2 linked regions of the Arabidopsis thaliana genome follow. The protein of the gene in region 2 interacts with the protein of the main gene of each other region in a pairwise test. Each region holds a gene or a part of one and is shown on either strand. Other genes may lie near its edges.

What was found. Proteins that work in one complex are often made in the same cells at the same time.
Region 1: the proteins of AT2G21237 (region 2) and AT1G11050 interact in a protein complementation assay, tested with the Arabidopsis thaliana proteins (one large-scale study listed by BioGRID).

What each region holds. Positions count from the first base shown.
Region 1 is NC_003070.9:3,679,828-3,686,630, reverse strand, and holds AT1G11050 (Protein kinase superfamily protein), read right to left. Parts: upstream 4,744-6,803; 5' UTR 4,740-4,743; coding exon 2,862-4,739; 3' UTR 2,462-2,861; downstream 1-2,461. Other genes in the region: AT1G11060 (WAPL (Wings apart-like protein regulation of heterochromatin) protein), read right to left, coding at 62-174, 371-710, 844-943, 1,438-2,063; AT1G11040 (HSP40/DnaJ peptide-binding protein), read left to right, coding at 5,707-5,844, 6,154-6,803.
Region 2 is NC_003071.7:9,098,168-9,104,774, reverse strand, and holds AT2G21237 (uncharacterized protein), read left to right. Parts: upstream 1-3,559; 5' UTR 3,560-3,590; coding exon 3,591-4,091; 3' UTR 4,092-4,239; downstream 4,240-6,607. Other genes in the region: AT2G21250 (NAD(P)-linked oxidoreductase superfamily protein), read left to right, coding at 194-288, 370-487, 620-752, 835-1,054, 1,137-1,367; BPC4 (basic pentacysteine 4), read left to right, coding at 2,286-2,354, 2,439-3,260; AT2G21235 (Basic-leucine zipper (bZIP) transcription factor family protein), read left to right, coding at 6,008-6,607.

The sequences.
Region 1 (6,803 bases), on a different chromosome or scaffold from region 2:
CTACCTTTCTATATTACGAAAGATATCAGTGCAGATGAAAAAAAAACATACAGCTTCACACCTCCATAACAGCGTGACAATCCATAACAACCTCAAGGACTGCATCAAGTCCTCCTAGTTCTCGCAGTTTCTCCTTGAAATTCCCTCCAGTCTTCTTTACAGAACCAGAAGTATCTGGATGGGGGTAAACAAAAGATCATAATATTATCACCTTAATTCTATGCTAAAATAAACCTAGAGAAGCAAAATAAATACTGGAGAGAACAGGAACTTTTCATCATCTATAACCTAATCTAACTGATTCTAAGATGATCTCCGAAATAGTTAGCTAGTCATTACTTCCGGGAGAAAAGGCAAAAAGTTCTAATACCATCAAAAGAAATTTTGGATACGCATGCTCTCTCCATGGCCAACAAAGCTACCCATTTTGTACTTAGCTCAGGCCTCGTTGTTTCAGTTATATAGCTATCATTCAGTCTCATTTCTTTGCAATTAACAAGAAGTTCCTGAACTCTTGAGAGGATATCACTGGAGCTCGGATCATCCATTTTCACTGGATCCCGTGCTGCATCAACATCCTTAAGTAATGATAAGAGCTTAAATCCTATATTGCGTGGCTTCCCTTCGGTGCTAGTGACAATCACAGGTTTCAACAACTTTATCAGAAACTTGATGCACTTGGGTGACTCCATAAAGTGCTCGTCTTGACCCTGGAGTCATGAAAATGAATTGGTAAAGTTATATACGGAAAATGTGAAATGGTGAATAAGAAACCAAAAAAACGTCAATGAATCAAAGATTAAACATCAAAAACATACATAACAGCATCTGCAAATCACTTACATCAGCAGTTAGCGCAAAGAAAAGGGTGGCTGCGGCAAGATTGCTTGGTATATCATCAAGGCTAAGAACCAAAATCGCATCAATTATGGATTGGGAAATCCTGAAACAATAAGCTCCCACAAAATTAGGTAACTTTTCCTGAGATTTCATGATACTTACGACTCAGCATCCATCTAGGACTTCTTATCGACTCAACCAACGAATCAATTAATGGGACAAACACAAAATCTCCAGTCCTTGGGAGAGAATCAGACATAGTCCTAAAACCTTACCTCGCATGCATCATGATACAAACCCTATTCAGTAATACACCATTCCAATCCACTACAAACCAGATTCTCTAAACTGTCATGCCCTAATCCTCTTCAGAAGTCCAAATCCATCACAAATCTGATTTACAAGAACCAAAAATACAGAGAAGAGAAAACGAAACCATAGAGTTTGTTGGCCCTAATCGTGCCCTAATCTAGAAGACCGGAAAACAATGAAAACCCACATGCCAATTTGGAAAATTTCTCATGAATTGAACAAAATCAAACCCCAAAGAGAAGGGGGAAATCGAAAAATCTAAGAAAAAAGAGTAAAGCTTCTTACCCTTGAGCCCTCAAGGAGCGACGCTGGTGTTGAGATGCACAAATCGACAATAGAGAGGACAAGCTAGCTCTTCTGATCCTGAGCTGGTGTCCTTTCCTCAACCCATCAAGCGCAAAGTTAACCTCATCCTCATGCTCCATCAGCTCACCAAACTCCTGAGCCTCAAGCAAAGTGGAAGTAAAAGCAGCAGCCTCAGCACCGTTCCTGACTCTTTTCGCCCTCCGTACAACACCTCCGTTCTGTGGATAATCCTCTCTGAAATTTGACCTGGAAGAAGAATGCCAGAGAGAGGAAGACTCTTGACTGGAGAAAGGAAGGAGAGAGTAATCAATGGGCTCGATGTCCGGCGACGAAGAGGAAGAGAGATACTCAGTCTGAGAAACAGAGTCGTTTAGAGAGTCCGATAGGGTCCTCGGAATCCCCGGCTTACGGCGGCCGTAGGTTCGTTCCATCATCGCCGAGACGAGTCGTTGAATTTGCAAATTTTTGGGGAAGAGTTTTAGGTGAGAAAATCGAAACAAGGGTATTTCGGGAAGAAAGACAAATATATAAAAGTGCTCGTAAGATCTGCGTAGCTGAAGAAGAGAGCAGCAAATGCGATTGGCCGTTAGTTTTACAATTATCATTAAATTTTGTTGTTACCACAGTAATAACTAATACTAAGTGAGTAACCAGAATGTTTTAAATTACTAACTAACTTTAGCAATTAAAAGTTAAAAAGAGCACACAAATTTTCACAGTCTGATTTTTGGGGTTTCAAGTTGTGTCTGAATTACAACTAAACATTTATTTGTTATTGATTTTTTTTTTTGAGTATTACCAATGCTGGAAAGTTTTAAATTTATGCTAGTTTGAGCATTTTATATTCAACTGATTCAGGAAATTGTGTAATGTACTGTATACTGTAAAATATAGAATTTACCAGATATAAAATTAATAGTAAAATATGTATCTGATTTTTTTCTGTTGAAAATGCTTTGACAAATCATTATGTATCAAACTATGTAATTTCTTGTTGACAAAAAAAAAAAATATGTAATTTCTTCTTATTTATATACATATAAATTTTGCAACGGACAAAAATAAACACAAATTTGAATGGTTGCAGAATTTTACATGGTGGCTGAGGCGAGAGGACCATTAGTGTCAAGATGGTGCAGGACTGTGAACCACTGCACCAAATGTGAGTGCCTTAATAACTTTTGCACTTGTACCGGAAGGCTTCCACCAGCTACCGCCCTCACCCCCGCATCTCAGCCTTCGCCTCTACTTTGATTTAGAATATAATCCTACAATGAACTATATGTTTTCCCTACTTATGATATACTACAACATTCTGAAATTGTTTTACATGATGTAATCAAAAGACGTGATCGTTGCTTTCAAATATTTACAAAATAAAATCTCACATGAGCCTAGTTTTTTCATCTGAGCATATCTCCGGAATGTATTTGTAGTCCGCTAAGCGCAGGCGATATTGTGAATCCGTTTCCGTCCATACGGTACGAAGGATGCGCGAGCGGGACTGGTCGGTCCGGAATAGGAGGAACCTCGATGTCTCCTTCAAGCATTTTCAATGCATCTAATATTGTTGGCCTTAAAGCAACCAATACATGGGCACACAATATCCCAACTTGCAAGAATCTCTCCATTATCCCTTTCGGATTCGAGAGCCCTGAGCCTTCCTCTCTCAACAAAGACTGCTCAAGAGCTTCCTCTGTTTTCCCTGCTTTTACCAATGACCAAGCCCAATCTGTGATCAGAAAAGTGTTTGGTGATCCAGAAGTAGACAGATCAAGAGCTTTCCTTCCACACATGATCTCCAATATAACAACCCCGAAGCTATACACATCGCTTTTCTCGGTTAATTGACCATAGAGGGCATACTCTGGAGCCAAGTAACCGTGTGTTCCCGCAACTCTGGTAGTGAGATGAGACTCTCCTTCTCTACTCTGTTTAGCTAAACCGAAATCCGCAACTCTCGCTCTCATATCGACATCTAACAATATGTTCGTACCTTTAATATCCCGGTGATAAATAGCGGGTTTCACACCGTAATGCAAATAAGCCAACCCTTTAGCCACATCCAAAATGATGCTCTTTCTCTGAGGCCAGCTCAATGGCATCTTCGTAGTCTCACCTCGAGGAAACAAGTGATCATCGAGATTTCCATTAGACATGTAATCATAAACAAGATATCTCTGACTCTCACTATCATCATCCACCATACTACAACCTCTAAGCGGAACAAGATTCCTATGTTTCAAATTGCTAATGATCTCAACCTCATTACGAAACTCTGCATCCCCTTGAAACTCAGACTCTATCACCTTCTTAACCGCGATAACCGATCCATCTGGTAAAACCCCTTTGTAAACAAAACCAAACCCGCCTCGACCGATGAAATTCTTCTGCGAGAAGTTATTCGTAGCTTTCTCTAGTTCCTCGATTTTGAACCAGATAGAGCCAGTGTTTGGTCTCCATTTCGGTCTAGACCCTTGATCCTCCCAACCAACCTCTCCTCCTTTAACAGCTTTACCAAACCGGAAATACAAACAAATCAAACCGGCAATAACCAGAGCCCCGAAAATAGCTCCGGTTATCCCTAAAGCAAGAGCCACCGTGTGTCTTTTCTTCTTTGAGTTCAATGGAGATCTCAAACTCAAAGAGAAGAGACAAGACAAAGCATCATCACTCTCAGGTCCTTTCTTGTTAACAATACCAGCAGCGTAAGTAACCACAAAATGGTAACAATAAACACCGTGAGAGCTATTACCGTCCAAAGTGATGAGCTGTTTTTGAACCCTAAACCCAGCCGCCACGCAAGCGTCGCATCGCGTTAGATCAGTGAGACCACTGCTACAGGCGGAGTCAAGCGCCGTAGATGGACCGAGACGAGATACCCAATCTTGAGTCGTTTGGATTCCAGCACAGGTTTCGTTATTGATGACGAACTGATTCGGATCGAAACAGAGAGAGGTGAGATTCGAAGATAGAGAGAGTGAACTAAGCTTCGTTTGGAGATTGTTGAGACAAGAGATTGAAGTAGCGAGATTTGGGAGACGGAAATTGGAAGTTTGTTTGAGACGATGAGCTAGAGGGATTCCGATTAGAGTTAAAAGAGATTGGCAACAACTGTTCTTGCTATCGGCTGATTTGTCGGACTTTTGACAATCTGTTGTGTTCCATGGGATTGTTAGGACATGAGAGAAATCTAAAGGACAAGTTTGTGATGGAGATTGAGCAACGCAGTTTGTGAGATACAGGAATGAAAGAAGAAGAAAGAGAATCGAGTTAGGCATGTTTATGTTGGATTATGGTGAAATCGAAGATATGGGTTTGGAGAATCTGAGGTTTTTTGGTGGTGGAAAGTGAGTGATTGATTTTGGCGGCCATGAAAGTTGAGGAAAAAAGTTGGATTCTTTTGGTCAAAGAGGCTGCTTTGATCTGTTTGACTTTGGAAGCAACATGGAAATGCAGCTTGTCCCCACCTGCAACTGCCAACACTAACGATGAATGAAACATATTCCATAGTGGCTACGTTTCACTTTCGTTTTTAATGTTAAATGTGGGAAAATTGAAAAAGCAAAATTAATAGATAGTACTAGGATTATAAAATTTTGACAAAATTAATGGGACAAAAATTCAGACGGTAAGACAAAAGAGAAAACTGAATAAAGGTCAACTAGAGATATCATTTTAAACAGTCGACTAAATTATCAAATTAGACTCTTTACGTGTAGAGTTGTTATTATTGCTTGCTGATGGGAATGGGGATCCACTATTGCGGATAAAAATAACTTATGCAACATACAAAACTACCAAAGATTGTGCTACAACCGAAACGGATCATTCGTTATTCTCATGTCAGTATGCTCATGCACTTTCGATAAACTATACAAGTCTACAAATGTACCGCTGGTAAATGTATCTTTTGAGTGTATCCATAATCTCATGATAAGTACAATACTTTGGTTCTGATTATTCTCTCTCAAACCGGGTCGATGCATGCTCATCCAATTCCTAGTAAAAAGTTATCAAAGGGGAATTAAATAAGAAAAGCCTATAAATTTTCTTAAGAAAATATTTTTATTTCGGAAAACAAAAAAACAGAAATTTCCTAATAAAAGCTCTCCCAAACAACTCGGCTCTTCGTCTGTCTGATAATCTAATTCATCCCTACACACGACAACGACAAGTTTCCTCATCTTTCTCTCTGTTTTCTCTTTCCGCTAATTTCTTGATCATCTTCTTCTTGTTCTGTATGCAATGGGGACTCCTCGTTCGCCGGCTACAGATTTCTTTGGAATTTCCAAGACAGCATGCAAAGCCTACAAGTCCCTCGTCACCAAATTGCACCCTCTTTCTTCTCATCGCAAATCCGAATCCCATTCCGATGCCGATTCCGTACGTTTAATTAACATCTTCTCTTATTGTGACGAACGCTATTTTCTGATCATCATTTCATTTACGTTTTCACATTTGAGCAATGATTTTTGCTATGGAATAACGTAGAAATAGATAAATTGTTCCCAACAATGATCAAACGGCGAAATATTCGATTTATATCATTATGGATTTCCGTTTCTTTCTTCTTTTTATCTCTTCGAGGATTGTTTGTGAAAACCTCTGTTTCGTAAAATAAAAAAATCATTTTTCAATCCAGAGATCGTGAGAACAGAGTAAAATAATATTTTTGTTTGTAAAAATTGATAGGCAATCCACCGGAGATATTTGGAGGAGAAATTTGCGGAGGAGGATGATCTCATTGCTGCTCGGAGAGGTCTCCGGCTACAGAGCATGGACGATAGTAGCGTCTTCAAACGTCGTTCTTCTCTGTTATCAAACTCAAGTAGCCGCCGTAGCCACACGCCGCAAGCTAGACCAACGTACCTCTCTTCCTCCGCTTCTTCCAACCGCCGTTCTGCTTTCTCAAGAAGCACAAGCCGTAGAGACGAAGGCAGCAGCCACAGCGGAGTGAGAAGCCACGGTTTGAAATCACGTCCCATCTCAAACAACACCAGTCCGATGACGTCACCTTTCACGAGTCCTAGAGGAAAAGATCAAACCTTAGGTGATTTATTCGGATCTGTAAAGAAACTTTCGTCTCCTACAAGCAATAGTCCGATAAACGGCGTCAAACAATCTTCTCCTTCGTCGATTTCGAAGAGTGCTAGCAAGAGAGATAAGGATGAAAGAGGCTCTACGAGCTCGGCGACATCGACCTCTCTGCCATATTCAAAGAGTAAGAGCACGAGGGATACGGCTGGATCAATTGCAAAGAGTATAAGCCGGAGAAGCACAACGCCGATAGTGTTTTCGCAGTCTACACCGCCGAAAAAACCACCAGCTGTGGAGAAAAAGCT
Region 2 (6,607 bases):
CTGATTCTGAAGTTCTAAGTATTTGGAATCATAGAATGATCTAGATTCTATTGCTGTATTGATGACAGATTGTTCTATAATAGCTTTTAACTTGTTACTTATTATAGACAGAGTTCAGCTTTGTTTTAATTCTATTGTGTGATTTGCGTTGTTTTAAGTCTTGATTTTGGTGTGTTCGTTTTCCTTGGTGCAGCTGATTATAGGAATGAGACCGAAGTTGGTGATGCTCTTACAGAAGCATTCAAGACTGGTCTGGTTAAGAGGGAGGATCTCTTCATTACAACCAAGGTCCAATCGAAAACTATACAGCTATGATCTCAATTTAATGTGAGCAAGCTCTGATCTGTGATCTGAATTGGTTTTTTGCAGCTATGGAATTCAGACCATGGCCATGTCATTGAGGCCTGCAAAGACAGTCTCAAGAAACTTCAACTTGATTACCTCGATCTCTTCCTCGTTCATTTTCCCGTAGCAACGAAACACACCGGTGAGGCCTCTGCCTCATTAGCGTTTTATTAGTCTAGAGTCAGAGACCATTGCATTTCGTTTTATTACAAGTCCTCCTTTTTCACTGACTGAGATCAAGTTTTCTTAAGTGTCTTCTATATATGCTTTGCAGGAGTAGGGACAACCGATAGTGCTTTGGGCGATGACGGGGTATTGGACATAGACACGACCATCTCTCTGGAAACTACATGGCACGACATGGAAAAGCTTGTTTCTATGGGTTTAGTCCGCAGCATTGGAATCAGGTTCAACTTCTCTCACTATCATTACAAGTTCTCTTGTTTAGTCGCCAATATATGAATTTTTTGACCATTAGGTTTTTTGCAGTAACTATGATGTCTTTCTAACGAGAGATTGCTTGGCTTACTCCAAGATCAAACCTGCTGTGAATCAGATCGAGACACATCCTTACTTCCAACGTGATTCTCTTGTCAAATTCTGCCAGAAACATGGTATCTGTGTCACTGCTCATACTCCTCTCGGAGGTGCCACAGCCAATGCCGAGTGGTTTGGCACCGTGTCATGCCTGGATGATCCAGTTCTCAAAGTAAGCCCCATCCTCTAAACCTTAAAAGTTTGGATTGAACCTTTGACAATTAAAAAAGGACTGCGTTTATCTGAATTCTTAGGATGTGGCCGAGAAGTACAAAAAGACAGTGGCACAAGTTGTCCTGAGGTGGGGAATCCAGAGAAAAACGGTGGTGATACCAAAGACATCAAAGCCTGCGAGATTGGAAGAGAACTTTCAGGTTTTCGACTTCGAACTATCGAAAGAGGACATGGAAGTGATCAAAAGCATGGAGAGGAAATACCGCACGAACCAACCAGCCAAGTTTTGGAACATTGATCTCTACGCTTGATCACACTCTCTCTATCTACATGAATAAATGAAGCTTAAGAAGATAAACAACGAGAAGAAGCCATAGCTTTACCTGAAACATTCTCAAATGTTTGTGAGCCTATCTTTCATACATAAACTCATGTTGTTAAACAGATTATGATTTCTTAAGTACTACAATATCACACATTGATGGAAAGTGATATAGATTTCTCTCTTCTCTATTTATATGCTTAAATCCACAATGAATCATTATTGTAACTGAAAGAGGATATTTAAAAAGACGAGTATACCCTTGATTTCTCTTGTTTAGTAGTAGAGAAGAGGGTAATTTGGTAAATGACGAAGTAAGTACATTGAGCTTCTTCGCGGACAGAGACACTATCTCTCTCTCTCTCTACCCTTTGGATCTTTCTTCTCGATCAATTATCCATTTTGCCCAGATTTTTTCCAGAAGCTCATCGAATTCGTAAGCTTTCGCGCCTTTTCCTCTCTTTAATTTATTTGTTAATCAATTTTGAATGTGTTGTATCTCTAGGGTTTATAATTTCAGTTTCACCCTTGTTTTCTATTGTTTCGCGGAATAATCTCTTGTCATGGAAGGTTTAGATTGATTCGACCTTTTTGATCTTGACCTAATTTATTCCAATTTTCGTAAAATTGTTCCTTAAGACCTGTTTCTCTGACTAGCTCAGATTGATTTTGGTATCTGAATCAATTGCGGAACCCTAACTGGCAGATCAATTCGAGAAGTTTTGATTTTGTTTGAAGATAGTGAATTGCGAGTTCAGTGTGCTAATATCTGCTTGTAATTCTTACTCTTCAATTGTTTTCATAGATCGAATCACAATGTTTGAAATTTGGTTTCACTGTTGCTGAGTGTGTTTGGAGGAGAAGCTTGATTGGTTCGGTGTTTCACTGTTTGAAGATTATAAGAGTTATGGAGAATGGTGGTCAGTATGATAATGCGCGGTTCAAGCCCGATTACTTCAAAGGTGCACAATCTATGGTAAGACTTAAGATTTTTGGTTTCCTAAAGATATGTTTTTGTTAGTGTGATTGAAGTTATATAAGCAAAGAATGTTTGTTACAGTGGAATATGATTCCCCAGCATCAGATTAAGGAACAACATAATGCGTTGGTGATGAATAAGAAGATCATGTCCATCCTTGCTGAGAGAGACGCTGCTGTACATGAAAGAAATCAAGCTGTCTCTGCTAAAAAGGAAGCTGTCGCTGCTCGGGACGAAGCGCTTCAGCAACGTGACAAAGCTCTTTCTGAGAGAGATAAAGCTTTGATAGAGAGAGATAATGCTTATGCTGCTCTTCAACACCATGAAAATAGTCTCAACTTTGCTTTGTCTGGTGGGAAGTGTGTTGATGGAGATGATTGTTTTGGTATTGGGGAACCCCACAAACTTGAAGTCTTCCCTTTGTCAACTATTCCGCCTGAGGTTACAAACACGAAGGTGGTGAACAAAAGGAAGAAAGAGAACAAGCAGGGACTATCAAAGGTGAAAAAAGTGGGTGAAGATCTGAACCGTCGAGTTCCTGCTCCTGGAAAGAAATCTAGAACAGATTGGGACAGTCAAGATGTCGGTTTGAACTTAGTCACCTTCGATGAGACGACAATGCCTGTACCCATGTGTTCGTGCACAGGCTCTACGCGTCAGTGTTACAAATGGGGAAATGGCGGCTGGCAATCGTCTTGCTGCACAACCACCTTATCCCAGTATCCATTACCGCAGATGCCAAACAAGAGGCATTCTCGGATGGGCGGTAGGAAAATGAGCGGAAACGTTTTCTCGAGATTACTCAGCCGTTTATCAGCAGAAGGATATGATCTCTCGTGTCCTGTTGATCTTAAAGACTATTGGGCTAGGCACGGGACAAACCGCTACATCACTATCAAGTAGCCTCTGTTGTTTACACAGTCCAAGTATGTTTCTCTCGTCTTCTTAAGATTAGGTGTTGTCTTTGTCTTTATTGTCCATAGTTTGTTCTTTGTTGTGTATGGTAAAACCATTGTTATGTGTATCTTTTGGATGGGCAAAAATGGTTTGCATAAAAAATCTGTGTTTTGACCTCAAAAAATAAAATAAAATCGTAACAGTTAAAAATCAAAATCTGTTACCCCTTTGATAGCAAAATCTGTTACCCCTTTTTTCTTTCACTTGTTAGTTTCTTTTTATACCGAGAGGAGAGAACAAAAAATAAAACACAAAGTAAGCATAAACAACAACAAAATGATGGAGAAAGCCACAGTGGCGCATGTGGAGACGCATCAACGGTCACAAGAGATATGGTTTCTTGGCGCCGCAAGAGCCTTCTTGCAAATTCCGAATCCGGGGATTGTCAAAGTTTTTGTCCTAAGCAGCTTGACTACATTCACCTCAGGAATGGCTTTAGTCATTGAGTGGATCTGTCACGGAAAGAGTCACACGGGATTCGGGTGGATCATCTACTATGCATTGTTCTTGATGTGTCTTCCTCTTGTCATCTTGATCGGTCTTCATATTCTCGTCAGGCGCGGCTCAGATCAGATTGTGGATTCAACTCCAAGCAAAGAACCGTGTGTGGTGCAGAATCAGAGTACCGAGACGACTAAACGAACTGAAGAAACGGTGAAAAACAGCTGCCAAAGTTTAGCCGTTGTGGTTGCTCCGGATGACAAGAAGATGCCGAGGATAAAACGCGCAGTGTCATTCCCGTCTCACGGCGAAGTAAGATCATGTCGAACTCGTTAGCAAATTAAAACTTAGTGTGGTTCATTCAAAAAAATAACTTTGATGTGGTTAGCTATCAGATCGATTCAAGAATCTAATAATCTCTTTTGTGATATGTTTGTTATTCAGCATTTTATCTTTTCCAATAATCCAACGACCAATGATCTTCAAAAATTCGAATTACATCTTTCTTTCTTTTTTCCCCTCTTATGAGCTGAGTTCAATATATATATATATATATATATATATATATATATATATATATATATATATTGATGTACTATATATTGTTAGTTAAAAGCAAAAGATGAAAAAGTCTTACAATGGGTTTTGGTTTTTCTTTGAAATTTTGTAACAACCCAAGTAAAATACTAGATCCTCTGTTTTTTAGGGAAAGTATTTTTTGCAAAATTTTGAATTGCTATAAAGTAGAGTTTTGGAAAAACTAAAATAAAAAATCTTTACATTCAAGGTAAAAATCTCTACTTCTTTGAAATAATGCCACGTGTCAGTTCAGCGAGGAATAATATGTGTGAGTCTCATGGGTTGTTTGAGTCAATTTCGTTACCGGTTCTACAATAAGAAGTTACTTTGGCCCAAATAGAAAGAAATTTTACTTATCAAGTGGCCGAAAGGTGGCCCCAAAAAAACAAGGAAGTAAATCTACTAATGTACATTTGTCGCTACATAATTGGTCTAAGATAAATTACTTATATAGAATACTGTTATGGTGATTTACCCAATTTTTAGCCAAATGTGGTAAATTTAATTTCTAAACAAACTTACAATCATTTATAGTATCTATTAATTTATTGCTAACAACAATTATTTTTTCCAAATAAAAATACATTTTTTTTTACAAAATTTAATTTAGATTCACTGAAATATCTACAATTAAGTAATGTAATTTAATGTGGGTCCATGTAGTGCATAGAAAAGATTTACTAATTAAGTGATTGCTAAAATCAATAAATTAATAAACAAAAATAAAAATATTAGTTGATCAAAAAAAGGAGATATATGATATTTATTAATATAGCCAAAAAATAAATCTCACAATTACAATTAATCAAAGGACTACAAAAATATACAAAACTTTCTGTAAAAAATCAAACAACAATCATTTGTAAAATCCAACATTGGTAATTCTTCTAGAGATGAACCAAATGTATATCTAAATCAGAAAAAGAAAACAAACAATATTTATGTTCCTTGATCAGTCTTAAATAAACGTGGTAAAATAGTTCGATTACAACGAAATAAACGTGTCAATAACTCATTAATAAAACTGAAAAAAACGTGATAAAATAACTCACTAGAATAAATAACGCGGCAAAATAACTAACTAATGACTCGATAGCAAAACACAAACAATTTAGATTTATAAATTTTCATTGTATAACCTTACAACACAGTACAGTATAGCTTTTTATCTTAAAAATGTAAAAGCTGTTTTATAGAAAAAATAATTCAAATGTATAGATATAAAATATTTGAGACCATAAAAAGGGAAAAATCCTTAATTAAATATGAGGAGGGTGAAAAACATGAGACTTGTGTCCTTTCCTTAACCAAATATAAATAGGAGGGTCGTGCAATCTATTGAACCAGACAAAAAAAAACACCAATCATTTTCTCAGAGAGATTTCTTTTGTCAACTGTCCTTATCCATTGTTGAAGCTTGAGGTCTCCTCTCTTTTAACTCTTTATGTCTCTCTCAAGTCTCAACGTTTCAATCTTCTTCTTTTTTTTTGGTCTCCTTGTCTGCAACCTGATCAAAGTTTTCATAGAATTAATCTGAATATCACGATTTGATCATTTCAATTTTAGCTTTGGACTATTGTTAACTCTTTCCCATTTATGCATTCGATTTTTGATTTCTTCTTTAAGAAAAATAACAAAACTTCCATATGATTGCAGAAACTCCGATAACAACGATGAACGGTCGTGGAAATATGACTCAATACCAGCAGAATCCTTTCAGTACTGATGATGGTGGCCAGAGCACCGGCGTGTCACTCTCTTCCCGGACTTCTCTGTCACCACCACTGATCCGTTATCCAGCCGGGTCGCCGGACTTCAGCCCCGGACCACGGTGTACGACTCAACCGTCCCCTACCTTCTCCGACTTCACTCAAGCGAGTCCTTCACTGACGTCATTCAATAATCCGGCAAGCTTTACACCTTCGTTTAGCTTCTCCAACATTCACCAAATGATTCCTACGCCGTCGTCGTCCCATAACTCAAAGGCGTCGGTGAGCTCTGCTTCGTCGTCTAGCTTCTACTTTCCCCAGACGAGTCCTTCATCATGCTCTACTCCGTCGTCGTTCAGTCCAGACTCGTTTTCTCACTCCAACACCGGACCATGGTCGATCCCTCAGCCTTCCCCTGTGTTCTCATCCATAGCACCGGCCAGTTCTGCTCTGTCGTCGTTCGGTCCAGACTCATTTTCTCACTCCAACACCGGAACATGGTCGATCCCTCAGCCTTCCCCTGTGTTCTCATCCATAGCACCGGCCAGCTCTGCTCCGCCGTTG